2 linked regions of the Drosophila melanogaster genome follow. Changing the gene in region 1 together with any one later gene gives a genetic interaction. Each region holds a gene or a part of one and is shown on either strand. Other genes may lie near its edges.

The links.
Region 2: of Mabi (region 1) and bcd, changing one suppresses a phenotype caused by changing the other (phenotypic suppression), as found in Drosophila melanogaster (one study listed by BioGRID).

The regions. Positions count from the first base shown.
Region 1 is NT_033779.5:13,225,540-13,241,167, forward strand, and holds Mabi (mabiki), read right to left. Parts: upstream 9,122-15,628; 5' UTR 9,057-9,121; coding exon 8,436-9,056; 3' UTR 8,259-8,435; downstream 1-8,258. Other genes in the region: CG16813 (uncharacterized protein), read left to right, coding at 2,314-2,868; CG16815 (uncharacterized protein), read left to right, coding at 4,367-4,945; Prosalpha6T (proteasome alpha6 subunit, Testis-specific), read left to right, coding at 6,569-7,438; Jhbp14 (juvenile hormone binding protein 14), read left to right, coding at 11,096-11,201, 12,781-13,161, 13,281-13,427, 13,490-13,644; Jhbp13 (juvenile hormone binding protein 13), read left to right, coding at 14,658-14,736, 14,797-15,171, 15,224-15,370. UniProt on the Drosophila melanogaster protein: Plays a role in inducing apoptosis and is involved in the repair of head patterning defects in the embryo caused by extra maternal copies of the homeotic gene bicoid.
Region 2 is NT_033777.3:6,747,969-6,766,388, reverse strand, and holds bcd (bicoid), read left to right. Parts: upstream 1-6,922; 5' UTR 6,923-7,117; coding exon 7,118-7,282; intron 7,283-7,819; exon of another isoform or gene 7,820-7,841; coding exon 7,842-7,917; intron 7,918-7,957; coding exon 7,958-8,916; intron 8,917-9,428; coding exon 9,429-9,713; 3' UTR 9,714-10,547; downstream 10,548-18,420. Other genes in the region: Ama (amalgam), read right to left, coding at 1,548-2,556, 3,393-3,409; zen (zerknullt), read left to right, coding at 12,241-12,327, 12,392-13,366. UniProt on the Drosophila melanogaster protein: Segment polarity transcription factor that provides positional cues for the development of head and thoracic segments.

The sequences.
Region 1 (15,628 bases):
CTTCTATTGTGTCTGCCTAGTCCGTCCGGGTTTTCTTGGAAATTTCCCTGCCGACTTTCTCGAGAAGCGTTTTCTACCTCGAAATCTGGCCAGCGCCTGCGCTTGCCACTCTTTGATGCTGGGCCACGTTGTCTGGACGCTTCGGAATCTGGATTCTTATCTCGCTTACCGCTAATCTGCCTCATTAAGTTCTCGTCCAGGGTATCCGGGTATACCTTTATGTACCTTCGGCAAAATGCCAGCCGCTGCTTAGTCACAATGGTCATTGAATGGAAATTTATTGGGATTTTCCCGAATCGATGGGTGCGCGTCTGGCCTAGTCTGTTCACGGGATTTCTTGGATTCTTTTCTTTTTTGTATAATAGTAGAGTCATAATTTATGGAAAAGCAAGAAATTTTGTTTATAATATGTCACTCACTATATGATTATTATACATTAATTAAACATTATTTTTTGTTGGTTTGCGATCATGAAAGATTGGTAATGTAGAAATTAAAATATTGCTATATGAAATCAGACTATAAGGTTTTCATTTTATACTTTTTCAAAACTAAACCTTCAAAGTGAAAATCTTGTGATATAAACAATAGAATATTGCTATACTGCATTATACTATAAGGGTTATAACCGACTTTAAATATCATTAGTAAAGATAATGTTTTATGATATACAAGTACATAAATATGTAAACACACACACATATAGGTTTTTCTTAAAGCAGTTTATTTATTGTTTAAAATTTTTAATACATTTAAATGCAGTTCGAATTTTCATTATTGTAAATACGTTTACTACTGCTTTTACTATTTTACAACTATACGAATTTAAAAATATATACATATATCCTTAACTTTTCTATTCCCTTTTTAAGTGAATTCTTAAAAGTAATCTTTGGACTTAATTTAATATTCTAAACCATTCAAAGTGAATAATCCTTGGTATATTTATACAAGGTTATCCTGGACGCAAGTTGATACAATCGTTGCTATCATACAAAGTTATATATTCTCGATTCTGGATCATAATATTTTAAATAGACATTTTTACCTATTTATTTTCATCTACATAATTCCTTCTTGTTTCTCAGAAAAAAGCAAACTTTTCAAGGCTAAAATTTCCCATCGCTGAAAAGATCTACTCCTTAGAAAAATATATGGGAATCTATTTTCCCATCCACCATCCTGTTAATACAACATTATATAAGACAACCTTTAATTGTATCATTGGTGAAAGCACTTCCTGGTAGGATATTATTGCTCTTTTTAAGGTCATTCCCCTTGAAGGAATGAACAACACCTACCCTGGAGGACCCAATGCAATCGATTCTCTGCGTTCCAGAACAGATGAAAATTGATCAATATAATAAAAGGAAAACAATCAAACAATACGACAATCTTTCACTGTAATACTTCAACTGAACAAATAACCAACTCCCACTCCGCTCCTGCTTATTGACTTTGGGATTCCTCGAGGAGGGCTCGTCTCAAGCCCACCTGAAATAAATCCGCTTAGGCGGAGGAACACTGAAATGTGAGAACCATCTACCACATATACATTCGTTCCCTGACGGCATAAATCAATGGACAATGGACCATTGAATGAAACGGAAAAATCCGACATAATGCCAAAGACACGAAACCAGGGAGCAGAGGGAGGAGCATTCAGTAATTGCCGGTTTTCTAGGTTTGCTAGTATGTACATGTACCGGGAGATTCAGAAACTCCGAGACGGTTTTTCTTCAGCTGTCCAAGCTGAAAGTCATAAACGCTTGTTGTTCGAATCGAGATCGGGCATTGAAAACTGCAGCATGTCTGCTATTCAGGTGCCACAAAGAAAGCCGAAACAATAGCGGGTCGGCCGGCAGACAGCCTGGACGAATTGAGCGCCAGGATTAGAGATTACACAGGGATCCTCTACACAGAGATCCCTTTTTCGGGCCCGACAACAGGTAATTTCGTCGAAAATCGTCGGCCACGTAAACAGACGAGGCAAGGACAACAACTGGTTTATGACACCCTTTGAGAAGATTGCCAGCCTGCGGATTAGGAACTCCCTATTCCCAATTCAGGTAACAGCAGCCGATTAGTTTTGGTCCCATTTTTAGGGAATGAATGAAATGCGTTGGGGAAATACCTGATCCGTTTTACCGTGATCCCCAGGTACGTGATGGGAAAATCTTTGCCATTTGGCCATTCCGTTTTCGTGGGAGGCTCTGCAAGTTACCTAATGTTGCATAAAACGGATGGCCAGGAGGAGGGGCAGCACAGTCGTCTCGAAGACAGCAAAGCGAACACCACTACTCTTAATCAAGAATGGATAACTATAACCACAAGAAATTCACTGGAGCTCTGAAGCGAAAGCGCAGCATGGATGCGGACTCTGATGACGATGTGGTCTTCATTATGGAACAGCCGGGCCAACGCACTCCAGAGCAGCCGCAGCCTAAGCGTCGCTTCTTCCGACCCTGGATGGATGAGTCTCCGGAAGAGGAGCAACCACAGCCGCCACGTAAGATTGTGGCTACATCGACACCGCCGCCACAACAAGTGGATGGCACCTACCACGCTAACATGGTGCGCAATCACCACAAGCGCCGCCAGCGCAGTCCACAGGAGCAACTGCGTCGGGATCGCAACACCTTGGCCAGCCTGCGCCATCGACGCTCCCAGCAGCAACAGCAGCAGCTCATCGAACAACAATACCTGACCAGTCGCATTCAGCACGAGGCCAATCTGCAGCAGCAGATCCGCCTGAGTCTCTACTATGTGCGCTTCCTGCAGCAGGCGATGGCCTCCACGGAGCCACTGCCTCCCACACAGCCAAGGCACATGATGCCGCGCCAACAGACCACCACCCAGCATCCTTGAAGGGTGGACATGGTGCAACGACTGGGCGCTGCTCAATGCGCCCTAACTTATTGTAGAAAAGCTGAATAGTGATTGTGATTACTTTTAAAGTTTAATTTATTTATCTGGTTGACTAAACAATAAACACACTAATTGTTATCGAAATAACTTGTAATTTTTATAGAATTTTGTAATAATTGGTTTTTAGTTGGTTTCTGATTGATTGAAATCTAACTCGGGGTCTTATTTATTGAATCTTATTTGGAAGTCTGATATTTCTTTTCCGCCGTTTAACATCATGAGGATTTGTTCTAGACCAAAACTGACCGGAAGCATCAGCTCATAAGAGTTACCTCACTTGGTTTTTCTGCCATTATATAACATTAAATACATCTTATGTAATTAATTTCTTGGAAGCGCAATTTGCAATGCTAATTAAGGTGTGAAGTAATTCTAGTGATTCACATAGCCAGACTACAGTGAGAATTGAATCGATTCGGCACGAGTGACATATTGTGGGAAACACGGAATAAAATTGTAATTTATTTCAGTTGGATTTAATTATTTAATTTATAAACAAATCAGCATAGCGAACGAACAAAGTGCTTGCAAAATAATTAAAACACGGTGACAATAAGATCCGCCTTTATATTTAAATAATCATCAATGAAATCATCATATTGTTGTCCGCGATTAAAAATTGCGCAGATAAATAAATCTTAATATACTAAATTATTTACACGAATAGTGTTTTACTAATTCATTTATATATATGATATATGCCGTATACATGTTTGTACGAAGTTTATTTAACTCTTTAAATATTTTTAAAGGCGTGTTTTACTACCTAAACTAATAAATGGATTAAATATATTTAATTCACCTCTCAAGACTTCCATGAATGCAATTCCTTCTCCGTAAACTGAAATCGCATCTGTCAGCAGTCTTTAAAAATCCTTGACACTTTTTTCTAACCACCGACCAGGACATATAATGCCATGTCATTCTAGAGGAAAAGTGTTCGGCAAAGGACCCTCGAGAATTTCCAGGGAATTAAAACAAAGTGTGCTGAGGAACCAGGAGCCAAAGGGACCACACACGGTGCCACAACAAATTGTGTCATGCAGGTCAATAAAAAAATGCATCGCCTGCATAACAGTTGTTCGGTCCAGAACTTTCCTGTTCCGGTGGCCACATTTGTCCGATAATCCAGGTAATCCACACACCAAAAAAAGGATAATGAGGCAATCCTGCGACGACAATTAGCGCTGTGATAGAGCAGGTCATAAAATATGCTGCTTAATCCAGGACGGAGATTACCTAATGCGGAATGGATGCGCTAATCCCTTTGTTGACAGACCCAAAACAAAGGGATTTCCCTATGTGGCTACCTGTACCGCCTACCTACTGTGCTTATAACCAGGATATCAATCTCGAAGCCAATCATTCAGCAAGCGATCGTCCAACGAGTCACATCATCACCACAACTCATTCGGAGTCATATTATCGAAATACAAAAATGGAGAACTCATCGAGCTACACCCACAAGAAGTTTGCCGTCAGCAAGCGGAAACGGGAAGTGGACCATGACAAGGAGAACCAAACTCAGCAGTCGGAACAGCCGATCTTCAAGCGCCGTCAGACACAGGGATTCTTCCGACCTTGGTTGGATAATGAGCAGAACCAACAGGCGGAGAAGGAGACGTCAACGGCGGCGAAACCCAGTGGCCCAGGATCCTCGGTCAGCCAGTACCGTGCCAACATGGTGCGCCGCAGTAACACCAATCGTCAGCGAAGCCCCAAGGAGCAGATGCGCCGCGATAGAAACACGCTGGCTTGCCTACTCAGCCGGCGGGCCAAGCAGGCACAGGAGGAGCAAGTGGGTCAGCAGTACGAGCAGTATCGGAGTCATCATGCCGCCATGCTGGAACAGCAGGTGCGCCTCAGTCTATACTACCGCCACATCCTCCAACAGGCGGTGTTCCAGCGTGCCATAAATCCGGCACCGGGTCACATCCTGCCGCAGCAGCAACAACAGTTCCTCCAGCAGATGGCCCTCTCCCAGCAGATGCTCATCTTTGGTGGCCAGCACTGCTGACCGTCCAAAATCATATCATAATCAGCGACTATGGATAGCCCAATCATGTGATTTAGTTTATTAAGCCTTAATTATTAATATTTATTGTTGACTTTGAAATAAATCAAAAGTTATGCATTTAATTTAAATTGCCGGTTTTGTTAACTGGGGGTTATCACTTGGAAAATTCGAAATTTAATCTAAAATGATTGTTAAATTTGTTAGGAGGTCAGTGGATCGCAACCATTACATTTTTTTACATATGTATAATAATGCTATATATATTAGGATTTTAAACATCTTTAAGTTAACCCACCGGCTTGAAAAATAGTAAAATTATATAAAATGATTAAGAGATCAATTATCATTTCTAATTTAATTACAACCTAATCGTGATCATAATATATAAAATTTATGGTATAATTTTTAGCTCAATAAAACTAAAAGTACTGCTATCAAAAGTAGATTATCTATTATTTGATATGACTTTTGGTAAAAAAGGGCTCAATCAAGGGCTCAAAAACCACTTACTCCAGTGACTTGTCTGACCACTGGAGTAAGTGAGTCATCGAAGCATTGACAGATTTTTCCGAGAAACCATTTACCCAGAGTGCCATTACCCAGCAAAGTTCAACTAATTGTTGTCTAGCTAATTTTCATGGCGTTCTCATTTCGTGGCGGCTTTCGTCAAGGTTCAAACCCGCCACAAAGAACCACATTTTGGACTGGGCCAAGCTTTTTGGCATCGCCTTCAACGCGGTGGATTGTTGGCTAATGATATTGACAGAGATCGGATGTGGCGATATGGAGATATAGACAAAGTCCAAGCAAAGCTTCAAGTTCAATTGGCCAGTGAGACGGAGTTTTGCAAGCACACACAGCTCGAAGCGCAGAAATGCAATTTTCAATGTTAGGCCAGTTGGAAAAAAAGAAGAAAAAAGCCAAAAACAAAAAAACCAAATGCAGCCACAAAAAAAAAAACTCAACAATTAACTGAAATTGATGTTTGGCTGCATGGTACAAGTGCAAAGTGGTTTACTGGGTTGTTGGAGTTGCGACGGAAATTTGCGCCATAGGAAGTCGGACTGCCACAAGTACTATCAATGAAAATTAAAAGTAATTAACTGCTCGCGCACAGCGATTGCGCAATCGCCAAAAGAGTTAATTATGTTATGTGCAGGGGGCTTCCCCGGCAGCATGAATACTTCGACTAAATCATAGCTCCTATTTTTCACTCACAGCCCGATGCAGTTGGCTGCATATGAGGCGGGTGCACTCAGTGACGAACATCAGCCTATGTTTTTTCCATCGGATCACCCGAACTTCCTCATAGACCGTTGATTTTCTACATGGTTAGGCATTATGCAAGTTAGCTGGAGTGAAAGCAAAGTTAGGATTGCAATTGGCTTTTCTCTTGGTATGCATCGAAACCCTTTCTTTGTGACCTCATTCTATGAAATTAGTTAGAATTGGCCATTACAAATTGATTAATTAACAATTACACGAGTAAATATTTTAAGAAATTCTATGAATAAGCAAACCCTTGAAATTAATATCAGTTTTCAATTACTTTCAACTCAAGCTAGACAAATTTGCAACTAACAAGCTAACGTTATTTCGCTGAATTCATTCACACTTTTGGCCATGTTCCGGAATCAGTATGACAACGACACAACCACTTGGAGTCCGCAGGGTCGTCTCTTCCAGGTGGAGTACGCAATGGAGGCGGTGAAACAGGGAGCAGCCACCGTGGGACTCAAGGGCACCGACTATGCCGTGCTGGCCGCCCTGTGCCGCACCTCAAAGGACACGAACACGCTCCAGCGGAAGATCATGCCGGTGGATGACCACGTGGGTATGTCTATCGCAGGACTAACGGCAGATGCCCGCGTGGTGTGCCAGTACATGAGGACGGAGTGCATGGCATATCGGCACTCCTATAACGCAGAATTTCCGGTTCGCCGTTTGGTTTCCAATCTGGGTAACAAGCTGCAGACCACCACCCAGCGCTATGATCGTCGTCCCTACGGTGTGGGCTTGCTGGTGGCTGGATACGATGAGCAGGGACCACATATCTACCAGGTGATGCCCACGGCCAATGTGCTCAACTGCAAGGCAATGGCCATTGGATCTCGTTCGCAGAGTGCTCGCACATATCTGGAGCGAAATATGGAGAGTTTCGAGGACTGCGACATGGATGAACTGATATGTCATGCCATTCAGGCCATTCGAGGATCGTTGGGTTCCGATGATGTCGAGAATCTCACCATAAATGTGGCCATTGTGGGCAAGGATGTGCCGTTTAAAATGTTTACGGAAGCCGAGAACCAGAAGTATGTGAAATTGGTCAAGGCTATGGATCCACCTCTGGAGGCGGACCACGATCCTCTATCCGAGGAGGGAATGAGCGATGATGACATGACGGACCACGGACCGAGTAGCAGTGGAGTTCCACCCAATGATACATCTGACATGGAAACCACTGCATCCACCGGCGGCAGTGACGCACATTGATCTAATCTGTGATTAGAAACCCTGACAGAGTATACTAAATTTATTGTTTCGTTAATAATGTTATTAAAGTTTATAGTTATTATGTTGTATGGCTGCTTCGTTTTTGTCAAAGAAAAAAACAAGAAACGGTTAGCAAGGAAATTGAATTCTGAATTAGTTTTAATAGCATGTATAGCATATATATTCATCTTATGGAACCTAATCGGATTAAAATAATGGAAACACTATAGCACTTGCCATTCCTATTAATACGTTGAAATTTTCCACAGGGATTAGGGGTTATGCAAATGAAAGCCTTTAGCGTGACCAATTCGATTACAATGTATTTGAAAATATCGTAGCTACTAATAGCTAAAGTGTTTAGTTTAACTTTAAGTGCGACAATGACAGCTGAGCGATGGACGGGAATAGGAGTAGTTATTATTTAAGCCCACATTCCCGTAGCTGCGGTTTCAATCGGTTTACGGCTCTATTGCCAGTGGTTTGACCAGGGTGCAGGGTTAATACCCAGTGAACTTTATCCGACTGGCTTGATATTCTCCATGGGGGGAGGCAATAGTCGATGGGGTCACCAATAACGATTTGCTCCAGGGGCTGATGATTGCCTGTGACACCACGCGAACTACCCCTGGGGATTAATTGGGATTTATTTCGATGGCTCCACGCTTTATTATATTTTATTAAATTTATTTATATATATTTTTAATATATTCATTGCTTCATTAGCGCTTGATTACTTTTTCTGCCAATGTCATAAATTAATATTTATACCATTTTTAGAAGGAAGATTAAAAGTCAAGCACACGATAAAAAATCAATTAGCCGTAAAAATTAAATCCTCATATTTTATTTATTAAGAAGTTCCTGCTTAACCTTTTAAGGCATTTATACTAAATATATACTAAATTTCTTAGCACTAAAAGTTCTTGAAGAAACTTAACAACTTAGCATTAATATAATAACTATATAATACAATCCTAAAAGGAGATGGACGTATCTAAGCATGCTCCTGTTTAATACCACCTATCAGGTAGTCGATGCTAAAGTTACTCTTGGTATTCTCCTCCGGAACTCTCCTTGAGGATACTAGCGGGTGGTCTTCCTGCTTGACCAGCTGCTTCAGATGATTCAAATAGACCCTGGCACGCAGACTCTGTTCGGCGATCTTGAGGTGCTCATCGGAGCACTCCTTGTACTGCTGTTCGATCTGCAGGTCATCGAACTTCTTCTTCCGTCGACTCATCCTGCAGGCAATTGTGTTCTTGTTGCGGCGCTCCTGATCCTTCGGTGAACGCTCCTTCTTCGGGAATTTTCGCACCATATTGACGTGGTACTTGAAGATGTCTTGGATGGCCTCGGTTATGATGGGGCTGGCGGATTGGTAGGAAACGCTTGAGGATGAGGATCCCAAACGACGACGCTTTGGCAGTGGAGGAAAGTCAGCATCCTGATCACTGAAACCCAAGCTGACGGACTGATTTGCCGCATCGAAAGGACTCCGACTGGTGCAGGGTGTGCCGCTCCGGGAGATTAGCTCTTCCTTCAGCTGCAAATCGCATTTCTCAATCTTTCGACCCATGTCGAACTTTTTGTGGCGATAGATCTGATGGTGCTCCATTGTATGGTATGATATGCTATGGTTATGCTATGTGTGTTCTACTCGAAGACTCTCGATTGAATGCTGTCCTGTGGATTGGTACACTAGCTTATATGGCGAAAGCCTTATCTGCCGCTCTTCGTAATCCCCCCACAACTTTTATAACTTTGTTTACACAAATCGACGACGAATTTTCTTTTTGCAAAACGAAAACAAGATCATAAACCCGCTCGATTTGCCTGCGCACGCGTACATGCCACCCAATCCCATACCCAAACCCAAACCCAAAACCCAACCCATCCCACTTACCTACTTGTAAGCCCACCCGTTGGGCATCCCTATCTACTGGTCATGTTTATTCTTGCGTGCGTTCAGCTGGGATCTTTTGAATTTCAGATACAATACAATCCGAGTTTTTCCGGATCAGTAGGTGGCGAAATGCGCGCCCATCGATTGTCTGGGTTCATTCAATTCGTGTTTGTTCCTCTTTCAAATCTATTATCTGCTGTGTTTTTCAATGTCGCCGCCTTTTGTAAAAGTCATATATATATATACATATATGGATTTTGGGCTACTCTTGTTCAATTGGCCTCTATTCGAAAAGTGTTTTGCGGCCTCATTTGTCCAACTCCCTTTGTATCCTGCTGTTGATAAGGTGTGTGTGGCACTGATCTTTTGTTTTCCGTTTGTTTCCCTTTTTTTAGATATCACTTCTTGGAACTCGGAGTGCCATTTCTGGGTTTGCAGTTTAATGCCGAAGATGACGATAAGATGACGTCTATTTGGGGTTGCAAAAGGGCACATTCCTGTAGACAGTCTGCGTCTGCTGATAACGTGCGTTTATCTCTTTTGTGCCAGGTCACTTGATAAATCGTTGTAAACTCAGCGCATCTTAAAACGATCCTAAAAAAAAAAGTATTCGAAAATTGGCCTGCGTAAAATAACCTACTTATTTGTTTGTTAAGAACTGAGGTTTTCCGAATTAGTATAAAGATTTGTTGTACGCGTATGACTCATTTCCAACCTTTTAAGCTTTGACAAAATCGACGTACGTTGCCTACTAGACACACGTGACTAAATAATCACTAATCAAGCACTTTAAAAATTGCCGTAAGGTGCAAAAAGCAGAATTAGCATTAGAGCTGTTAGCACGGCCACGCTTGACACCAATTGTTTGATTTATACTTTCATTACTACTTACTAGTAGAAACAGAAATAGGCAGTAAAAGGTTCTGCCTTTTCATTTTGAGGGTATACACAGATGTATATTTTACTAGGCCACAAAATTGCAGTAAGTTAAATAAAGCCTCAGTTAAATGCATTAGCATTAGCATGGAAGTACAGGAAGAATAGTTTCAAGCTCTAAAAATTGAAACAGTGATCTTAAGCCCAAGTCCCCGAGACATTTAATAAGGTGGTACGTTTTAATTAGCCGCCTGGGACCAAGATCTCCAGCACCATCTCCATCACCAAGTCGAGGAAGCATCCAAAGCGAGTCGGATCACTTGGGACAGCTGCCGGTAGTTGGTAGGCGGTTATGTGATGAGTATGTCGGGTCGCACTGGGGTCGCGATAAGTCAAATCGGATGGCTGGGTGGCTTCCACTTCACGACTTTACGGGGGAATTTAATAATGTCGTTTGTATTTCGCTACTGTCTACTGTCTACTGTCTATTGACTTTTGCATTTGCTTTGTTTTCTACAGCTGCGACGGCGATTAGTTTCAAGCTATTTTTGTTATCCACCCACCACCCACCGCCCACCGCTCCGCCCACAAATCCCTATTATTTGCTAATGCCGAGCATCTGTGTTTGTGCCTTTTTTTATTTTTTTTATTTTACGTTTGTCTTTGCAATTTCGATTTGATTGGATTTGTTTTGTTTTCTTCCCATAAATAAGAGCCCGCCACCCATCGCAGCTCTCAGACGTTGATTCGCATTTGCATCGGTCAGGTTGGGCTATCCAACGGATGTGGAATAACTTCACCTAACGAGGAAGTCAATTAAAAAAAACATCATTCAATCTAAACGTATCAAATTAAATATTAAACAATCTATCGAAATGGGTCGTATCTTTGGCGTAGTTGCTCTAATTCTGATGGCCGGCTTATGTTTGGCAGCGGAAATAGAATTGCCACCAGTTGAGTTCAAGCCGGTTCGAGAAATACGTGAGTGTCATTATACATATGTGAAAAATCAAACCCTATATTAAAATTAAGAAATAAGAACAACAGAAACAATTCTTGGGAAGTGCAAACTTAGTGCATTTAAACAAAATAAATGTTAAAGCAAAATAGAATATTAATACATTTATTCTAAAATCTTATTTTAAAAATACAATTTCTTTGGATACTGCAAAAATTGCGGAGATTGGCTTTGTCGTTTTTAATATTAATTTGATACGGCCATTTAAAATTAAAAGGTAATCTCTAAATTTCTATAAAAAATTTATAATTTCAAGCGTTGTTTCAAACAATTTTAAAAAGTACAAATTGTTAATGCGACACTTTAGTATACTCTGACGATAGCAAGTCGTTCAATTTGTGATATTATCAGTTAAATAGAAAATTCGAACATACAAAATTGACTTCGTGATAGCAATAATCATGTGAAGCACGCAACTTTGTGTGAATTTTATAACAAAGCAATTCAACCGTCTGACAGTCAAAGTTTAAGCCCAGATTAACTTAAAACAATAGAATTGCACAACATTAGATACATTGCAATATATTGCATACCATTAACGAAAATCCTCTTATATTTTATTGATAATAAAGTATTTAATATATTGGCTGAACTTTTTAGGGATTTTTAATTGTTCATGAAGCCCGTTTTGTAAAACTCAACATGTAAATGAGATAGATAAGATTGAAATTTGTATTCTTCACATCGCAACAGAATAATAAACAGAAGTTTATATAGAAAAGAATTTGCTAAAAAACATACTTGAAAAATTATTATTTATAATTAAATATAATATTTAAAAACATATACACCTAAGTAAATATAAATTATGTCAAAGTAAAACGTGATGTCCTTGAGCTTTAATTCACTATTAAGACACTATGTTACAAATTCAATTATAATTATCTAAATATAGTTCTTTGGCATACGCAGACAGACCATGACAAACACAAAATGTAGATTGTCATGTTCATATATATATAAAGGTATTGTCTTCAAACAGTTTTGGCCAAAAATAAACACACAGTCATTTAAATTACCTCATTGTCCAGGCCACAATTGCAAATGTTTTTTTATACGATATTCGCCGACCGAGTCACTTGCTGTTGTAGATATAAATATAGCTTTTTTATGGTAGAAGTTAAAAATATATGACAAGTTCGCCGCTTAAGTCTTTTTTTGCCGGACATGTCACTTCCGCCGGTAAGGTAGACTTCTCCCAAGGTAGACCAATAGGAAAATTGCCGAGACGAACTTGAGACAACGAGCAGAACGAAACTCTTAAATGATATGCATGAATTTTCGCTCAACTCACTGACAAAATCAAATCTAATCAACAAATTAATTGCGCATGACGTTGACAATTATGTGAGCGACGAAACGTTTAAGCCAAAGTCGAACTGAAAATTCTCGGCTAGAAAACTGTCACGTTCTGATCATAGGCACATCGATCGTACGCGATATGGCTAACGTGTTTTATGCTGTACTAAATATGTCAAGGTTCCCATGCTCACCAATTTAATTTTTGTTTTTTTTTTTTTTGCTTGGCTCGGCATTCGGCAGCTGGGGATATTCCGACCTGCCGGGAGGGTGACATCAACATCAGCGAGTGCATCAAGCAGGGCCTCCAGCAGATAACGCCACGCATGAAGTACGGCATCAGCGAGCTGAACATTCCGCCACTCGATCCCTTCGAGATGGGAAAGAGCTCCTATAGCTACACCTCCGGCCTGCTCCAGGGACGGATTTCCATGAAGAACGTTGTGATCCACGGCCTCAGCGAGGGCATCGTGGACAAGGTCAACTTCCGGCTGAAGGATGGACGCGTGCGCATGGAGATCCTTTCGCATGTGCCACAAATGTTCGTCGAGGGCTTGTACAAGGCGGACATCAAGCTCAACGATCTCAAGCTGAATCCCAAGGGCGCCTTCAACATTACCATGAGTAAGTAACGCAGCAGAACACATGTAACTGCATGTTAAGTATTATTAGGTCACATAACAGTTTGCTATTAATATTATTATATTATTCAATGTTTTTGCTTCGCTTTTTTTCTTCTGCAGCTGATGTCGCGATGAGGGCGAGACCCATTGGCGAGCTCTACGAGCGTGATGGTCACACCTATCTGCGCCTGACCAAACTGGAGACTGAGCCCAAGGTGGGTGACCTGAAATTCTACGCCAATGGACTAGTTCCCGATCCGGTGCTGAGTACGTAATAGCCAATCAGTACTTACTTATAGTACTTACTAAACTGCTTTGTTTTCGTTCAGACGATGTCATCTTGGACTTTATCAATCAGTACTGGCGCCAGCTTTACCAGGCCATGCTTCCCGAGACATTGGACACCTGGCAGCCGCTGATCCTGAAGTCCACCAATGACTTCTTTGCTGCACTACCGTTCGATATGCTTGTTACCAAGAATTGAGATACCTAACTTTAATATTGTTTTACTATTTATACCTTCCGGATTCATCTGTTCTACTCAAGGTGTTAACATAGTTTGTACCGAAATAAAGATACAATTACCTAAATATAAAATATTTAGAAAATATTCTTATCTATGTTTGCCAGTTTATGTAGAATGTGTATTTTCTAGAGTGAAAGGTTGCACTTACACTAAACAATCAGTCATGAGTCAATTTACAAGTCAAGAGCAATTAAATAGGGCTTGAGTGGCAGATTGAAAAAGTGGGGCTATAATGGTCACATAAAAGGTAATAAATTGAAATTTTTTATTGGTTTATTGGTAGTTAGGAATCGAACCGAATGGATGGAAAACTATTGGATCGAATAATGGAAGTCACTTAGTAACTATCCTATAAGCAATAACTTAAGACACTAATGGTTTTATGCAACCCGATTGAATTGTACTTAATTGTATAACTTTTCACAGGGCGTTCAATGGCATATACAAGCTTAAAGCTTCTCAGAATATAATAGATCTAATTTTACTTTCTAGCTATACTATATATTGTGAAGTTCATAGTACAACTAACTTTAAATATGACTCACTTAATGACGAGACTTCTTTAAGCTCAATTTGCCGGCCCTACAATGTCACCATTGAATAGCCAAAATCGGTAGACCATTATTAATATACGTACTTTGTAATTAATATAAGAATTAATGACGAATCATTGTTGCCATTTGCTGTAGTACCTTCAATATATTTTTCCATTTAATAATACGACATTATAAATCAGGCAGACCGAGCCGGTTTGGCATTCAGTCAAAGTCTAGCTGTTTGCCGGCTAATGTTTCTGATTTACAAGTAAAATATACTAAGCTAGATTCTAACTTGCATTGTGTCGCAGTGTGCTAATTTGGAGAATAAAATAGCTCGACTTGCAGTCTGGAAGCTTCAGTTGTAGTTTAACGTTCTAGCAGTAGGTTGAAAGTCGAATTCGAGTCCCAAAAAGGATATAGTTTAGTAGTAGAATGTATTGTACTATTGGATTGCTCAGCCTGCTGGCCTTGGGATGCAGTGCAGCTCCCACGGATAAAAACTACTTTGCTGGTAGGTATATCATATATTCGTTTTTGTTTTCTCTTTATATAACATTTTCCCACATTGAAGATTTGCCAAAATGCTCGACTGAAGAGGATCAGCTGGGTGAGTGCGTGAAGCAGCTGTTTAACACATTGACTCCGCGCCTCAAGGACGGTAATCCAGAGTTGAGAATCGAGCCCTACGAACCTTTGCACCTCAACCGAACCAGCTTCCAATACTCTAGTGGCACTGTCAATGGTCGCATCACCGTTCGCAATGCCAAGATTTATGGCTTCTCCTCCAATCGGGCCAAAGAGGTGTCCGTCAAACTCAATGGCGACAAGGTGAAACTCCGTCTGGTCACCCAAATGCCCAAGTTGAACATTGTGGGCAGCTATAAGGCCGACATGCAGGTGAATCAGCTGCAACTGAAGCCCAAGGGTGAATTCAACGTAACGCTCTGTAAGTAAGTTAGTTTGCCTCTTTCGGTGATCACTTATCATTCCGGTTGCAGTGGATGTGGAGGCCATAACGGTGACCGATGGTGAGGTCTACGAGAAGGATGGTCATCGGTTTTTCCGCCTCAAGAATATCGACTCAAAGCCAAAGATCAAGGACTTGGTTATCAAGGCAAACGGAATATTTGCAGATCCTGAACTGGGTGAGTTCAAAGCTGTTGTTTAAGGCAAACTAGTGAATTTGTTGCACTATGAAGAACGATGCCTGCTTTTTGAAAATTATGTTAAATATTTTTATTTAAATTATGCATTTACTCAAATACGGTGGTTGCACATTGGTTGTTAAAAAATTCTAATTTTAAAGTACTTTAGAACATGTTGAATAGCACTAAAAACGATTGCCTTATTGCTTCCTCGTGTTTACATAAATATTTAATTACTTTAAATACGTAATCACTTTG
Region 2 (18,420 bases), on another chromosome or scaffold:
CTTTTGCCGACTCTCTCTCAGGGGAGGTTTTGGTCCGAAAATCAATAAAAGTCACGTCGACGTCCATGTTGCTCTGCTCCTGCCGCAGAGGCCTCAACCTCCGGCCCCGGCAGACAATGAAATGATGTCCTGGCCAAAGGACGACGGAATGGGAGGTCGGATGCGGGGCTGGGAGTTTCAGACGAGGACGCACGTGTTGTCCCTGGACTTCAGGCTCGAATGCGTGCGAGTAGCAGCAACAATACCAATTACAATAAAGACAGACATTTAGCCAGGATTCATTTCGAGGGGTGTCCGCAGGAAGGGAAGCCAGCAGGACATGTGAAAAAAGGAGCCAGGAGCGAGGATGAAAAATTTGCCAAATGTATTCCAGCAACGGGTTTCTAATGGAAACAATTAAGTCATTAGCAAGTGTTGATTTTAGTGAGCGATGAGCCGGGTTGGGGATTTAGTTAAACTAATGTGCTCCGGCCATAATGGAGTCCTTTGGGCACTCTGGACTGGATCCCCGCACAAGCTCCCGAATAGTTCATGTACCAGTGGCAGACCCAGCTCGTTGGACCGCCTTACAAATGCCTCGCATTTTTCTCAATTACAATGAACAACTTACATTCGGGTTCACTTTTCGCCACACAACCCACTCCGCATTTTGACCATGTGAGTGTTTACGTCAAGAGGTGAACAACTGACTGCCATTTTTTAACCATGATTGAAGAGTTAAACGCTGTGGCACTTTGAGCGGGCTCGGTTAACTTTTTGGCAAATGACTTCGGCAGCGTTAACCGTTGGAATACCAGCTCAGAATGGAGGTTACATGCTGTTTTTGGTGTCAAGGTGGGACCTTGCGGACTCAGATGGCAGCTTTAAGGAAGAAGATCTTGAAAGATCTGTTATTTAGGGTTTGGAAAGTGGCATCCAAAAAAGTTAATGGATTTTTAAAAGATTTGGATGTTCTAGCCATCATTCTAACGAAACTGTGGCTTTTAAAGTGTAAAGTTTGAATTGTTTATTGTTATAAATTAATAAGATCCATGGAGCATTGGGTGTTGTTTAGAAGTGATTAATTTTTCATTTATATCTGCACTTACCATATATTTTTAGATTCCCTCTCGATAAAACAATGAAATACTTTTGACAATGCCTTGTCTCCTGGCTTAGTTTTATTGAATGACAAACCCTTTAATTCGTTGCTTCAAGAGGTGTTTATTCTCTCATGGTATTTAACTTACACCGTATACAAGCCAACCCAACCACATAGGAAAAGACCGATTAAACTTTATCAGAGAACGTTATTTACTTAAGCATATTAATGTGTGTTTGCACAAGCCGACGGATGCAGAGCAAAATTCATAAGGCACAAGCGGTGGCTCGATCTCAAGTGTGTCCGAAAATAATGAAGTCTGAATGGGAGCTAATTGAATGAATCATTAATAATATAAACACAGACCGCATCCGGACTGGCGAATTGCCGAAAAAGCGAGACGAGAGGAGAAAGTGAGGGTTCCAGTCTTGTTGCGTGGGAATGGAAATCAGACGTTGAGGGCTTATTACGACAAGGAGGGCACTGGGATGACGGTCTGGAAGAGATGCAGTCGCGCATCGGCGTGTCCCAGCTTATTGGTGGCATTGCAGTAGTAGTCCCCAAAGTCCTCCTCGCCCACGCTATCGATGCGCAGCACAGAGGTTGTGGTTCCCGAGGAGGAGGCGGTGTTGGCCACCTCGTGGTGCCGGCTAGACTGCAGGGGCACGCCATTCTTGTGCCAAACTACAGTCGGAGCCGGGTAGCCCTGCACGGAGCACTCCAGCTCCGCGGAATGGGACACCATTTGGGCGATCTTGGGCCTCTGGACGGCAATCTGCGGACGGAACTCCACTTCGACCCGGATCAACCTCTTGTCCGGCTGGCCCTCTCCGTTCTGCGCGATGCAGTAGTAGCCGCCGCGATCCATCCGGTGCACGGAACGAATCCGGAGAGTTGGTTCGGCCAGCAAATGGCCACCGGCAGGCATCACTGCATTATGCTCGCGGGCCCAGGAGATCGTAGGCTTGGGAAAGCCATTGGCATGGCAGGTCAGCTCCAGATTCTGTCCCTCTGTCACCAGGGTGCTCTTGGGGGTGTTCTCCGCAATCACCGGCGGGGTCTTGATCTGCAGGCTCAGCTTCTTGGTCACCTTCTCCGTGGCCGAAACAAGCACCTGACACTCGTACGGACCCATGTCACTGACTTCGATGTTCTGAATGCGGAAGGTGTAAATGGCACTTCCGGTCTTGGGTCCTTCGGTGACCGTTACGTTGTACCGCTGGTCGGGCAGACTGAGGATATTCCGCATGGAGAGCACCACCGAGTTGGTGTCCGACTCGCTGGGACGCTTGGCCCAGCTCACCGAGAGCTGTCCCACCTCCTCCACGGTGCAGTTGAACTCCACAGAGTCGCCCACACTGGCCACCACGTCCTTGCTGATCTGGCTGATCACTGGGGCACTAAGCACCGAATCCAAGCTGATCGCAAGGCAGAATATAAGACCGATTAGAAGCCGCAGACGCGCCATGTCTGGTCTGTAAGAAATCAAAATAGATTTGAGATTTATTAGTGTATCACTTTATGTTGAGTCTTTTGATCGCGTTAGCCATTCTAAATATTTCGTATGTAATGGAGAACTGCCATTTTTAACCCATCTTCGAATTCAATATAATAAACTAAAACTAGGTTCAATTATAGAATAATAATTTAAAGGTCACAAGTATATCTTTAAAAGTATCTTTCAAAAGTAAATAAGAAGGAAAGAATTCTGCACACACACTCGTTTTGAAACATTTATAAGGCTTGTACACACTTTTCAGCTTTATCGTCTTATTTTAATATAATTCATACATTTCTGTTTATTTACAGGATGTTGCTGTTGATTTTGTGACTCTTTTTCCTCGACTATCTCTCAGTTCAATGTGGGTTCAATGCGCTTCACTTCGCGTTCGGGACTCGACTGAATTGAAAGAGGCGACCGAGCTCGGCTCAAAAATCCGTATCTCTGCTGAGGTTCTGAGAATCGGGTTCTTATTTTTGTATTCTTCCTGACGCGCCGACGTCGATGGCTCGGTTTCTCAAGGAAAGTCCCGAAATTTGTACACCGCGAGAATGAAGCAGATAGACACCATTATGATTGATTACCGCGGCTGTGTCTAGACAACGTTGCTTCTTAATGGATACACTGGTAAAAACGGAGATAACTTAGTTTTCCGATATATCAATACTTATTTTTTTTTTTAATGAATAGCCAGGTAAACGAAATCAATTTGATTTAAAATTAATTTTTTTGTAGTTAAGGATGTGAAAAAAGATTTTAAATGGCAGTGTTTAGTAAATAGTTTAAAATTTAGTAAAAAAAATAGTTTACCTTTTATTATATTGCATATTTTTTAATAATTAGTAACAGCTTTTTTCAGTGTATTTGCCGATGAAGAAGTCATCGACGTTTTGGATCTTATCACCCCTCGGTTATGTACATTGTCGCCTTCACAGTATTTGTATCTGTGTTTGTTCAGTATCTCTATCTGTATTTTGTATCTGTGTTTGCATTTTAGTTCGTATTTAAATTGTTTACTTGTGCGTGAGTTTGACTTCGGGCTCAGTTATCAATGCACTTTCCTTCTGGTCTTTAATTGATTTGTTTTGCTGCTCGCTGCTGTTGTTTATGCCTCTGCCTGTGGCCCTCCTGCCCCGCCCACTTGACAGCCCCCGCCCCAAGATAAGCGGTCAGTTGCAAAAACAAAGCGCCAGCGAAAGCGGCCGCAGGCGAACTGAGAGACCGCGTGCGAAATTCAAATTCAAATTCGTGCCGCCATTTGGCCATAAACGTTTCGGGGTTCGTGGAAGGACAATAAAAGGAGCAGCGGCGGGGTGGGAAAGTTGGAACTCTACCCATTTGTGTGATTTATGGCATGGCGCACTACTTTCCGCTGGCGGCTAACAACAACAGCAACGATTACGAGCGGTCCCTGGAATATCCTAGCCGCTCTGGAAATGCCAGCGATCCCAGCGCCGTCTCATTAGTGCTGTCTCTTTTGCGCCGGAGCAGGGGCGCATGCGCGAAAAGGCAAAAACAACGGGGTGGTGTACAAGGCATTGGGTGGAACTTGAATCGAGTCCTGGTTCAGCCATGCTGGGAAATTCTGAAGGATATTTAAAGAGCAGTATTCGGGAAATTTGGGTACCTTTAACTTGGCTGTTCGTAGAAATTTCTTTACACGGCTGAAGGTTAATATGTGTACTCACAGCATACGAGGATAGGAAACGTCGAAATATAACATAGTCTATATTGATTATATTTGTGTATATATATTGATGTGTTTAATATGTGTCTGGATCTCGATCAATTAGTTCCTATGGCAGATGATTTAAGGATTAAATGTGGTCAAAGGCCGTTTGATGTGCAAAATTTCACTTGTTGTATAAGCACCGAACCATTCGAAAACTTTCTGCTGCCCAAACGCATTTAATTTTCATATTTCCAGCCTGATTCCTGATCAGCCCCGGGCCAAGTTTCCCCCTAAAACCCATCGAGGTTAACCCGGCTTTACTCTGCGAGATGATTGATGACGACGCTGTCTGTCTGGCGAAGAAATTCCCCCGAAGAGCGACGAAACTATGGCCACAGTTTCTGGAAAATTAAATCACATCTTAAATCGTTTCGGTGACTTCTGCTGAAATGAGGCCGTTCCCATGGGAGGACAACTGCATCTGTCGTCCGAACTTGGACCCCCGCACTCTCACTCGTACTGCCCATCTGCCGGAATCCTCGTCGCTGAGTGCACATTCGAATCAGATAATTGTAAATTGTGTAAAATAATAAATTTCCAGTTAACTATCAACGGACCGCATAGGGCGCTTCTATTCCGTCCCTTTCTCGCTGCCCACTGACGGCTCTCCTTGTCCTCAGCTGCATCCCGGCAGCGTCATTATGACCATTGCGGCGATGCCTCTTGGATGCAGGTTCAGGTCCTGGTCCAGGTCCTGGCAGGTCCGGCTGCTTCATGCAACGCTCGACTTGGCCCGACCGAACTGGACACACACCGAAACCGAACGAAAGAGACGGCTAGACGGCGTGCGACAGAGAGGGCTGCCGCTCGCATTCAGGCGCAAGCGGATCCAAAACAGAAAATGTCAAATTTTGTAATTTATTACCCGAATCCTGTTTCTGTCAGTGACTCTTTGGGTGTTTCGCTTCAGCAGCGGCACACACGGGGGCATTCAGCATTCAGGGTCGCCGAGCGGGGAAGGGAGAAGTCCTTTGTCACACACTGCGTCTGAATTTGTGGCCCAGTTCCGCACAGTGGTATCTAGCAGATACTTTTTGTAATATTTGTAAGAATGCACAGAACTTCGTTACATTCAGAGATTTCTAGTTTCTAGTCAGATGACTAAATACAATATTATGTGTCAAAGTAATTAATTTTGTTTTTGAATAAATTTCTAAAATATCAGCTTGCCTTTAACGTAAATATAGCCTTTTCTACCTATCTTTATCTGATATAAAAAAGTAGCATTTGAAATGCTGTTGTTGCAATGGTATCGAATTGGTATTAAAGCTCTGGCCCTGTTTAATTTGTATTTGTAGTCAGAGCAACCACTGTACCTTTGTGTGTATCCTTGGGCTTTGCCTATGCGAACGTATTTTGTTTGCCTTTTGGCTGCACTCCGACTCCGTCGACTGGAGTGTCTGTGAATTGACTTTTGTTGCCAGTTGGCAGCGGCAGAAGCAGCAAAGCCCGGCCAACAGCAACAAGCTCCTGCCAGATCCCAAAAGCAAACACGACAATTATTTGGCAAATGTCATTAAAAAATATTTCACTTAAGGCCTTGCGACACTTGCTTAAAGGTCAACTGGCTCGTTGGGTGTGTTTTAAAATGTTAAAGCTTGGGCCAATGCACTGAGCAACTTAATGCTTGTAGATATTTACACAATATTCTTCAACGCTAAACATATCGAATTTTCCAAATATGGAGCCTGAAAATAATAATTGCCAATCCTAGCTTAACATCAGAAATGAGTAGAACAACTTAAAAAAAATTAACAAAAGAATCGAACGCTACAGCTAATTAACTCGACAACTGGTTACCTTTTATTCTTCTAATACATTTTATAATGCACTGCCTAACAGGTACATATAGCAAGCACTATATGCTGTCTTACAAAACGATTATATGATATTTTCTTTCGTACGTAGCCGTTTGAGATCATTTGGAAAAACAAACTCGATCTCCACCATCCTTATTCTTTGTCCCAAGTCCTTATATATCTCGCGATACTAAGATTGAATAATGTAGTTATTAATAGCGGAAGTATGTAACAGAATAAACTACAAAGTGCACATTTTGTTCAATTCAGGCTGGACTGGACTGGAGCATATTAATATTATAATATTAACAAAAATTCAAATTAAACATTCGACACTTGTCTAATTGATTCCTAAATTTGGGGTGCCTGTTTGTTAATTAAATGTTAATATTATGAAGTTCCAAACAGAGCAAAGAGTTTAAGTTTAATTGGTTCTACTTATTTGTTACAATATTCAAGCTTTTTTTTATTATTATTCTCAAATGCAAATCTCTACAAATAAATAAACCTCCGACGTTTTAGAACATTCACCTTTTGTCAGTGAGCACAACCTTTCAATACAGCCCGACAGGGGGCTCTCTACTGCTGTCTCTTCACGCCCCCTGGTGAAAACGCTGTGCACTCAATCGGTTTGCAGCTTTGCCGTACTGTTCGATTAAAAACTTTTAAATTAGAGGCAAACATTTAAAAATAAAATGTCCAAATATTTGTCTAAAATGTATTGTAGACGCTTATTGATTTTTAAATTACTCAAAAGAATGAACATCGAGGGAGGGCCGCCAATTGTGCCATCTCTACATCTCTTCGCTCATCCCTAAATAACGGCACTCTGCAGATGCGAAGCAGTGGATCGCAAAAACGCAAAATGTGGGCGAAATAAGTTCGCGAGCGTCTCGAAAGTAACCGGTTACTGAAAATACAAGAAAGTTTCCACACTCCTTTGCCATTTTTCCGCGCGGCGCTTGGAAATTCGTAAAGATAACGCGGCGGAGTGTTTGGGGAAAATGGCGCAACCGCCGCCAGATCAAAACTTTTACCATCATCCGCTGCCCCACACGCACACACATCCGCATCCGCACTCCCATCCGCATCCGCACTCGCATCCGCACCCACATCACCAACATCCGCAGCTTCAGTTGCCGCCACAATTCCGAAATCCCTTCGATTTGGTGAGTTCCCATCGCAGCAGAGAAGGGCTCTTGTCCCAGGAAAGCTACAGTACAGATTCCCTATGGTGAACAAACAACCAGTGCGATCACTGATGACCATAAACATTTATTGAGCCGCAGCAAATGTGTTTCTAGAACATAGGGCGAAATCTTCTATTATCTTGTTTGTGACTTTTAAAGTATCGTAGCAGAATCTAAAAACCAATTGATATTATTAATCGTTACAGTTAGTATAGTATATAATTGTATATGAATTGTGGGGCATCATGTTATTAGTGATTTGCCGAAATGTTCTAAAAGGTGTTTCATTGAAATGGACGAATGTTAAACCTGTTGCACTCACACCGACAATCAGTAATGTCTATTTTTCAAAAGCCACATCTATGGCCACTGGGTATACATTATTGACTTTATACACTTCATACAACATATTTTCTAAAACAAGCATTGTTGTCCTGCATGATGATTAGTGAAAGTAATATTGCAAGATTCGGTCCCCGAAGCGAATCGTCCTTTCACGTTTTTATATAAAGACAGTGTACCCCTTGATTCTTTGAAGCTTTTCGATGAGCGAACGGGAGCGATAAACTACAACTACATACGTCCGTATCTGCCCAACCAGATGCCCAAGCCAGGTGAGCTCAAAGCCAACAAAGTCAGCCATCGTCTTATCAGATGTCTTTCCCTCAGAGGAGCTGCCCGACTCTCTGGTGATGCGGCGACCACGTCGCACCCGCACCACTTTTACCAGCTCTCAAATAGCAGAGCTGGAGCAGCACTTTCTGCAGGGACGATACCTCACAGCCCCCCGACTTGCGGATCTGTCAGCGAAACTAGCCCTGGGCACAGCCCAGGTGAAGATATGGTTTAAGAACCGTCGGCGTCGTCACAAGATCCAATCGGATCAGCACAAGGACCAGTCCTACGAGGGGATGCCTCTCTCGCCGGGTATGAAACAGAGCGATGGCGATCCCCCCAGCTTGCAGACTCTTAGCTTGGGTGGAGGAGCCACGCCCAACGCTTTGACTCCGTCACCCACGCCCTCAACGCCCACTGCACACATGACGGAGCACTACAGCGAGTCATTCAACGCCTACTACAACTACAATGGAGGCCACAATCACGCCCAGGCCAATCGTCACATGCACATGCAGTATCCTTCCGGAGGGGGGCCAGGACCTGGGTCGACCAATGTCAATGGCGGCCAGTTCTTCCAGCAGCAGCAGGTCCATAATCACCAGCAGCAACTGCACCACCAGGGCAACCACGTGCCGCACCAGATGCAGCAGCAGCAACAGCAGGCTCAGCAGCAGCAATACCATCACTTTGACTTCCAGCAAAAGCAAGCCAGCGCCTGTCGCGTCCTGGTCAAGGACGAACCGGAGGCCGACTACAACTTCAACAGCTCGTACTACATGCGATCGGGAATGTCTGGCGCCACTGCATCGGCATCCGCTGTGGCCCGAGGCGCTGCCTCGCCGGGCTCCGAGGTCTACGAGCCATTAACACCCAAGAATGACGAAAGTCCGAGTCTGTGTGGCATCGGCATCGGCGGACCTTGCGCCATCGCCGTTGGCGAGACGGAGGCGGCCGACGACATGGACGACGGAACGAGCAAGAAGACGACGCTACAGGTCAGGCATGAGTCCACAACCTTTTTTGATCTCTTGATTCTGAGTGTGGCGTTTATAAATTGAAGCTTTAAGCTTTGTAACTTTCAAACTGTCTGGTTTGAGATGTTATTCTGAAAGTACTTCTATTTCCGATCGATGAGATTTGGGAGTTCTCCAATATTTAACATTTAACTTATTAAGTTTTTGTTTTCTAAATTAGACATGGCATTTCTGAAAGGGAAGTACAAGTGTTAAAGATGTATTTTAATATAGAATTTGTATCAAAGGTTAAGATTTCAACCGTTTGAAAGCCCTTAGTTTTCAGGGTTTTTTACTTTTTTATTCATGTAATCACTCTTAATACACTGCAAGTTAAAATAGCATTTCTTTGACCAGAAAAATAAGATCTATGCATTTTAAAAGTGAAAACAGACTCATATGCTGATGAACATTTTTAGCTATAAATTGTAACAATAATTTAGCAATTTCAATCGAATTTATTTATGTTCTAAATGCGTTCGCTCTCTCCCTAGATCTTGGAGCCTTTGAAGGGTCTGGACAAGAGCTGCGACGATGGCAGTAGCGACGACATGAGCACCGGAATAAGAGCCTTAGCAGGAACCGGAAATCGTGGAGCGGCATTTGCCAAATTTGGCAAGCCTTCGCCCCCACAAGGCCCTCAGCCGCCCCTCGGAATGGGGGGCGTGGCCATGGGCGAATCGAACCAATATCAATGCACGATGGATACGATAATGCAAGCGTATAATCCCCATCGGAACGCCGCGGGCAACTCGCAGTTTGCCTACTGCTTCAATTAGCCTGGATGAGAGGCGTGTTAGAGAGTTTCATTAGCTTTAGGTTAACCACTGTTGTTCCTGATTGTACAAATACCAAGTGATTGTAGATATCTACGCGTAGAAAGTTAGGTCTAGTCCTAAGATCCGTGTAAATGGTTCCCAGGGAAGTTTTATGTACTAGCCTAGTCAGCAGGCCGCACGGATTCCAGTGCATATCTTAGTGATACTCCAGTTAACTCTATACTTTCCCTGCAATACGCTATTCGCCTTAGATGTATCTGGGTGGCTGCTCCACTAAAGCCCGGGAATATGCAACCAGTTACATTTGAGGCCATTTGGGCTTAAGCGTATTCCATGGAAAGTTATCGTCCCACATTTCGGAAATTATATTCCGAGCCAGCAAGAAAATCTTCTCTGTTACAATTTGACATAGCTAAAAACTGTACTAATCAAAATGAAAAATGTTTCTCTTGGGCGTAATCTCATACAATGATTACCCTTAAAGATCGAACATTTAAACAATAATATTTGATATGATATTTTCAATTTCTATGCTATGCCAAAGTGTCTGACATAATCAAACATTTGCGCATTCTTTGACCAAGAATAGTCAGCAAATTGTATTTTCAATCAATGCAGACCATTTGTTTCAGATTCGGAGATTTTTTGCTGCCAAACGGAATAACTATCATAGCTCACATTCTATTTACATCACTAAGAAGAGCATTGCAATCTGTTAGGCCTCAAGTTTAATTTTAAAATGCTGCACCTTTGATGTTGTCTCTTTAAGCTTTGTATTTTTAATTACGAAAATATATAAGAACTACTCTACTCGGGTAAATTGTGACTAACTACACATAACTACATACTTAGCCCATATTTCCGTCCCTTTCTAGAATGAACGAAAACAGTATCTGGTTTTCCCGAAAATCTTATGAATTTAAAAATGCACTTTATTGCACATACTCACACATGCCTGCCATAAAATATGATTCGCGATTTTTCCGCGAACACCCGCGGATCATAAAACATTTGCACCAGCTGCCTGTGTTTATTCACCTACCTGAAACCCATACTCTTATCGCCTGATCCTCGCGCGGTCGCACTATTTAGGTAGACACTGTACAGGCAGCACTCGCGGGGCGCCGCCAGGCAACTTGTTGCCCCTATTTTCTTTGATATAAGTTTTGGGAAATCCAGAAGTCCAATAACGGGGCCTATATGAACGAATATTGATTGGGTTTCTCCCAGTTATAGAGTTTTTATTGATCTTGGGCGCGTTTTAGTAGGTGGATTATGGATGTCCTGGGAAAACCAAGCTCTGAATCCATTCTTACTTATCACAAGACTTGTTTTCCTGTGCCCTTCATCACACCTAGTTTAACTACTATAATTAATAAACTACTTTTTAATCCGCCATTTATGAAGATAATTTATAGCATCTATGCATCTTTCAAATATCGCGAGATATCGCAAAGTATTCATAAATTAGTTTTTTATTGATATTGTAAAGCTTTTTAATTTGGTTCAGGTTTTTATTGTAAATACTTTTCACAATTGTGCACAGTGACCCATTAACATGGTTGCGATATTAACTTAAGACTTAAACAAGTTAATTAAGAGTTTTAGCACTTCTTTTCAAAAGATCATGTTTTAATTATGTTTTTAAATGAATCTTTTCGACAATTCTAAAAATATTATTTCGAAAATGTTAATTTTCATATATAACCTAAGTAAAGATATTTTCAACTGTACCTCACTCTCGCCGCGACATTTCCACACGGTTATCCTGTTATGACTTTTCCTTTGTTCCAACGTATTTTTAGCGAATTCTCGGAAGGAGAAAATCCGATAGCGCCAGTAATAAAATTTGCGAACAATTCCCTAGTTCGAGGACTGAGGATGGGAAGGCCTATGGACCGGAGACCCGAGACAGATTCGCATTCGCCGCGTCGGAGACTTGAGCATATACTCCTTGGAAACAAGCAGAGCCATAAACTGTCCAAATCGAGCATGAAACCCCGAGGAGCATCCTTTCTCACAGCGCTGCTTTCATTGCATTATGAGGATAATTGCGGACGGCGAGCGACCAAAAGCCGCGACAACAGCTTCGGTTTCACTTTCAGCGCCGCCACCGGAGGCTCTTTCAACAGGTGCTACAAGTTGGACAACAATCGCCTCGGATCTCCGATCATCATCAGCCCGTCTACCTGGCGAGACTCCGGCTCTTGCGGCCCAGGAACCCTGGAACTGTCTCTCACGCAACGCCAGATCCTGGCAGGATTTCGATCAAAACAAGCCTCTAGATTGCCCATTGCCAATGGCCGGGAGTCGTCGGACTTGGCTAGTCTCCGAGGTGCCAGTCGGGCAGTCCAGCGACGAAGGGATTTACGACTCGCGGCTTAGGCAAATTTTTTCGCAACGATGCGTCGGCGGAATTGACCTGTTATGTCGTCTACCTACAAGCCCTCCTATATAAGCATGATGTTTGCTTAGGACGACAGATCATTCCACTTTTGACAGCTCACTCGGCAGTACCAGAAAAAATATGTCATCCGTCATGCACTACTATCCAGTTCACCAGGCTAAAGTCGGCTCCTATTCAGCAGATCCTTCCGAGGTTAAATACAGTGATGTGAGTACTCAGATCAAAAATCGAATATCAGCAATAAACTAATTAGTTGTTTACCCGCTTTCAGTTGATCTATGGTCATCATCACGATGTTAACCCCATCGGTCTGCCTCCCAACTACAATCAGATGAACTCCAACCCCACCACCCTCAACGATCACTGCTCCCCGCAGCATGTGCATCAGCAGCATGTGTCATCGGACGAGAATCTGCCATCTCAGCCCAACCACGACTCGCAGAGGGTGAAGCTTAAGCGATCACGGACTGCCTTCACCAGTGTCCAACTGGTGGAACTTGAGAACGAGTTCAAGAGCAACATGTACTTGTACAGGACGCGCAGGATTGAGATTGCTCAGCGCTTGTCCCTGTGCGAACGCCAGGTGAAGATCTGGTTCCAGAACCGACGAATGAAGTTCAAGAAGGACATACAAGGTCACCGCGAGCCCAAGTCCAACGCCAAGTTGGCTCAACCCCAGGCTGAGCAGAGTGCCCACCGAGGCATAGTGAAGCGCCTCATGTCCTACTCCCAGGATCCCAGGGAGGGCACAGCGGCAGCAGAAAAGCGTCCTATGATGGCAGTGGCTCCTGTGAATCCAAAGCCAGACTATCAAGCCAGCCAGAAAATGAAGACCGAAGCATCAACCAACAACGGCATGTGCTCCAGCGCCGACCTCAGCGAGATCTTGGAGCATCTGGCTCAAACTACAGCTGCACCACAGGTCAGCACTGCCACATCTAGCACAGGAACATCTACCAACTCGGCTTCTAGCTCCTCTTCGGGCCACTATTCCTACAACGTGGATTTGGTTCTGCAGAGCATCAAGCAGGATTTGGAGGCAGCGGCCCAGGCTTGGTCCAAGTCTAAATCCGCGCCTATCCTGGCCACTCAATCCTGGCATCCCAGTTCCCAAAGTCAGGTCCCCACGAGCGTGCATGCGGCTCCCTCGATGAATCTGTCGTGGGGCGAGCCTGCTGCCAAGTCGAGAAAGCTGAGCGTTAATCACATGAACCCGTGCGTAACCTCCTACAATTATCCCAACTAATTTTGAGTTAAAAAAGTTATACTAAGTTTTACTATAAATTTTTGTTGGAGCTAAGCAACCGTCTCTGGCCCTTGGACGAAAAATTCTAACCGAACTCAGTGACAAAAGCCATGAATATTCTTAAATTATCGTGAAGTTTAACCATTTTTTTAATAGATATATTAAAATATGCCTCTGTATTGCAACCATAGTTAATAAACTAAAATTCAAATAATACAAAATGATATTTTCTTCACTTTAAAATAATTATTCGATCGATTTCTTAAATGACTCCTTGTTGCTTGCTGTACAACTTTTATAAAACTTTGCTTTAGTTACAATCCATTTAGTATCCTTAAGACCACTCCAATCCAAAGTGGACACTTGGCTTCTGAAAAGGAGAAACCAAGGAAAGAAAGGAGAGGAGAGGAGAGGGGTTAATTTTTAGCATTTAGCTAGTGTCCCAGTTGTCTTCGGTTTCACTTTTGCATTTAATGTCCCATTGCGGGCGACTTGAGGTCAAGTCGAGGAATTTCCATTGCATCGCCCATCTATTAGGGCCCAGAAAAGTGTCAACCGCATTAACTCGGACAGGTCCAGCCCCTTCCCCTTCTCCATTCCCATTCCCAATCCGGATTCGGATCCGGATCCAGGTTCAGTTTCAGTTACAGCGGGTTCCGTTGGTCATCTTGAGCGGCGGACATGGAGTGTTAGGATTTGATTTATGGACATTTAACCGCACACATTACTTGCTACTGGCTGCGGCGGCTGTCCAGCGTCTTGCAGCGCGGAAATGCGGCACTCAGCCTCAGCTCCAAGGAATTTCCACCAGCCCATCCATCCCTTTGGTCCTTGGTGCGGGCCCTTAGGTGTGGTGTGGTATGGTGTGGAGTGCTGTGTGTGTGTGGCAAATTGCTTCCCCTGGGAGGAAATTGTCGCTCGCACTTGCCACGGCCAAAGGACTCACAGGACGTGCACTTCGAAAAATAATAGTGCAGTGAGAGCTATTTACAAATATTGACATAATAACGAACATTTATAATTGTCCAAAATGTATATTTTGCTATACAATTGAACTAGAACTAAACTTGTATTATTAAGTATCATTTCAATTCATTAGTTGGGTCACTTTTTAGGAATTACACATTTTCTTATGAGAAGTTTAAATTACTTTTATTTCGGAGCTGACGCGGAACACATTTGATGACATGATTGGGTCCATCCTAGAATAATAAATAAATTTTTAAAGTGTACCCATGTGGAAGTCAGTGGCCAAAGGGGAGGACCTTGCACAGGGTGTGAATCCTTGGAATTTTCATGCGCGTCGTTGACATTTCCTGACATGTGGTCCGGTTCGCCTCGGTTCTGGCCTGGTTCTGGTTTTGGTTTGGTTTTGACTCGACCTGCCCTCGCCGGGAGCATGTCCTACACATGTTTGGGTGCTGCCATAATGAATATAGATACCGCATTGGAGGAGCGTGGGCGTGGCTAATCGCCCGGCAATCAGAGGCAGCTAATCAAACTCGCATAAAAAGCGAACAGCAGGAACAAGTAAACAACTCCACGCGGCCAGCTTCAATTACGCGAAATGCCAATGTAATAAACATGTCCGACAGCACAGCGCAGATTGTTCCCATTGCTCGAGTGGCCAATTCCTGAGCTCAATCACTCGCTCAGCAGCGGCAACATTGCGGTTTTATTAGCCGGAATAGCGAATTGGCAGCCGGAGCCCTTGGCCCGGAGGCGGGAATCCGGAGCCTTGATGACAACGACATGGCCGCAGTCGCGGCCTGGTCATAACAATAAATTCAGCGGCCGCAACGGAGGCTGGGCGAAAAGCATTTCAAATTGTTTCTTGTTAATTAAATTAAATATTCACTTCACACTCCCCGATGCCCAACCGCAGCGTTTTGTAATTAGATTGAATCTATAATTTTTATGGCTAATCGCCTCTCGAAAGCGCTTGGCTCTCAAGCAAGCTCATCCCACTCTTCAGCAATGAGTTTTGGATTCGCGACCAGGACGCGAAACCCAAGTGCTTGGACTCCTTGCGACAGCCGAGCGAAATGTATTTTGTGTGCAAATGAAATGTCCTCGCTGAGGAATTTCTGCGGTGAAAGTTAATTAAGCGGGTAAAATAAGTTTAATGCATCGTTTTGAGGTCTAAATCGAAAAGTTTTAACTTACATTTTTTGAGTTAGTCTCAAAAATTTTTTAAATTTATTTGCCTATGAACATTTTTGCTTTCGAAATTCATTTAAACCCAGTACAGCATCATTTGTAAATAATAAAAACCCACCAAAAGGCTACCCATTCGCATTTGACTCATCCTTTTCGGCAATCCTCAGCCCAACGGTTTTAGCTCCAATTTGGATATTTTTGGCACGTTTAAACGTTATGACATTTCACAGACGTGTTAGTCCCTCAACGCCAACGGTATGGCCAACACCTGTCGTATAAACAAATCGTGCTGGGCCAGAAAAACCTTGTGTCCATTCCACACATGTTGGTGTGTACTGTTGGCCCAAAAAATGTGCACATACTCGTATAGTTAACAGCAGGCACGGGAAGCGCTTCTTATTCTGTATTCCACGACAGATTGTGAAAGCGTGAAAAAAATCACTTCAAAATTTGAATGCCATTTGCCAAGGAACGGGCCGATGGTAGTGAGTGGAGTATCCTGTGCCCCAAACTGAGATTGTTGGGCTTACAATAGGGTTTTCGTTGTGCCCAAACGAGGTGTGAGCCGTGATGTTGCGAGCATCTGTTGCTTAACTTATTTCATCTCTACAGCGGTGTCTATAATTCTGTATGAATGGGTGTCTCACTGGTAGGTCAGTCTAACTATTTATACTTTATCAGTTTAAACGTAATGTATATCTAAAAACAAGTATCCATTCCATATTAAATCCACCCCAAAACAATTAAGTTTCTGCCACAAGGTAATGTTTGCAATGGTTTTTATCAGTAAATAAATTGATTTAGGTGCATAAATGATCAAATAAAATTTTAAATTTCTTTGGATACGATAAAATAAACTCTATTGCATAGGGTGATAGATTGGTTTCTGGGCAATCAAACGGACTCGGTGGCTCTTTATTTTCCCATAATTTGTAACTGAGGCAGATACTCAATCCCCATCTCGGCGAGCTGTGCCCATTTCACGGATAATTCGGGCATTTCCTCAACCCTCTCCCTCCCAACAGCTGATACGCATACGCAGCATATGCAAGTGACCGCCCATCTGTAGGGTTGGCCGTATTTATGGCCCGTTGGCTGGTGTATTTTTCATCGGTCTAAAACCCATAATTAAATTACGTGGAATTCATTTATAACAATTACGTCGAAATGGCAATCTATGCTGATGATGCCGCCAGGCGGCGAGTTTCTGCCGCAAGGAGCGTACCAACTTTTGCTAACCAACAACGAAATTCGTGCGCAATAAAAAATGCGGTGCGTCATGTGAGCAATTTGGTGTCGTTGTCGTTTGTCCATTTGCTGGTTTGGTGGCAGGAGCGAAATGGTGCCACAACCAGTTCAGGCTCCTTCTGCCGCACTGCAATTATTTATCCCCATGCACACTGCCCCGCCCCTTCCCTGCTAACGTGGCCAAGAGAGCCCGGCGCCTAAGCATGTCCATGTCCGGTTGCCGCGTGTGTGCCAGTGTGTGTGTGTGTGTGAACCGGCTCCTAAATGCCTGGCCCACACGACGCAGACACATATCCGCCACCCAGCTCTCGGTCGCCAGGATCCTTTTCACCACACCGCCACCCCACACCCCATGCACCAATGCAGGTAATGTGCCAGCGACATGCACTTCCAGGTGAACCGTGGGTGCGGAAGCAGGGGGCTACACATGCACTGCGCGAAAATTATTTATAATGGCAATTTTTTATTATTATCAATATTCATAACAGTATTAAATGTCACCATTTTAATTGAGTTTCCATGGCAAGATAACCAATTCAGCGAGCTTGGCCTCAGAGTTCGATAAACCCAAACTTCGAAATAGCATCATTAGACAAATGCCTTCATTTTTGATTAACTTCTGTTTAACGAATAAAATAATAATAAACCATTTAAAGAATTGCTTAATATCGCTTCGTATTGCTTATGTAATATTGATTCGTTCTATAGTTCTCAGATTTATTAGAAAACTGTACCATAAGGTTTATATGTATAATAATATATAATATATTAAAGTCGCTTATTGCGAATGTTTATATTTTATATATGTATAAATTATATTTAATACTCTAAAGTCTAGTGTAAAAATCTATATCCAAAAATAATTTATACCGAAATATATAATAATACAAATAATAAAAATACGTTTTATCTTTATAACACTATCAAATTTTTTTTGCTGAGTGTAAAGGCTTTTCGTTGCGCAAAGGGAGGTTTGAGGGGACAAGTTTCAGTTGTGTTGAGATTGCGGCTCTACTATTATTAGACGCCATTATGTTTTATAGACTATAATTGATCCTTTGAGCCAAGCTGAGCTCAACATGCATTTGTGCATTTCTTTATCTTACAAATTGTATGAGATTAAATGAAAAGTAATGTGAGCGTGAGACGAGTATGGCTATCAGCCAGAGTGCTAGTAACAGGGTGTGCAGGTGTGTGTTTCTATGCACCCATAATCATGTAAACGGATTCAACGCAAATTACTGGCAAAACCAAAAAAATTAAATAAAGTCATCATGATTCTGCTTTCGCTACAATAAAAGCTTTTGATCATAGTTTAAAAATTGAAAAAATTCTGCCCCAATCTTTGGAATGCAGCTATACAAGTTGCTTAGTATTATTTGATTACATCCAGAATTAGTATGATAAAGATAAAAATGTGCTTGCATTTTAAACCATCTCATAATACACTATCGATATTTATTCCCATGCCCAAAAACATATTGTTGCTACGCAACCAGTTGATTATGGGCCATAAATAGTACAACCCCGAGTTGCCACGCGATTCGTTTGCCCAGCTGGTAATTATTCAAAGTAAACAAACTGCCACAACGGTCAAATCAAAAACAAATATTTTGTTGAATCCGACGGTCATTATTTAATATTTG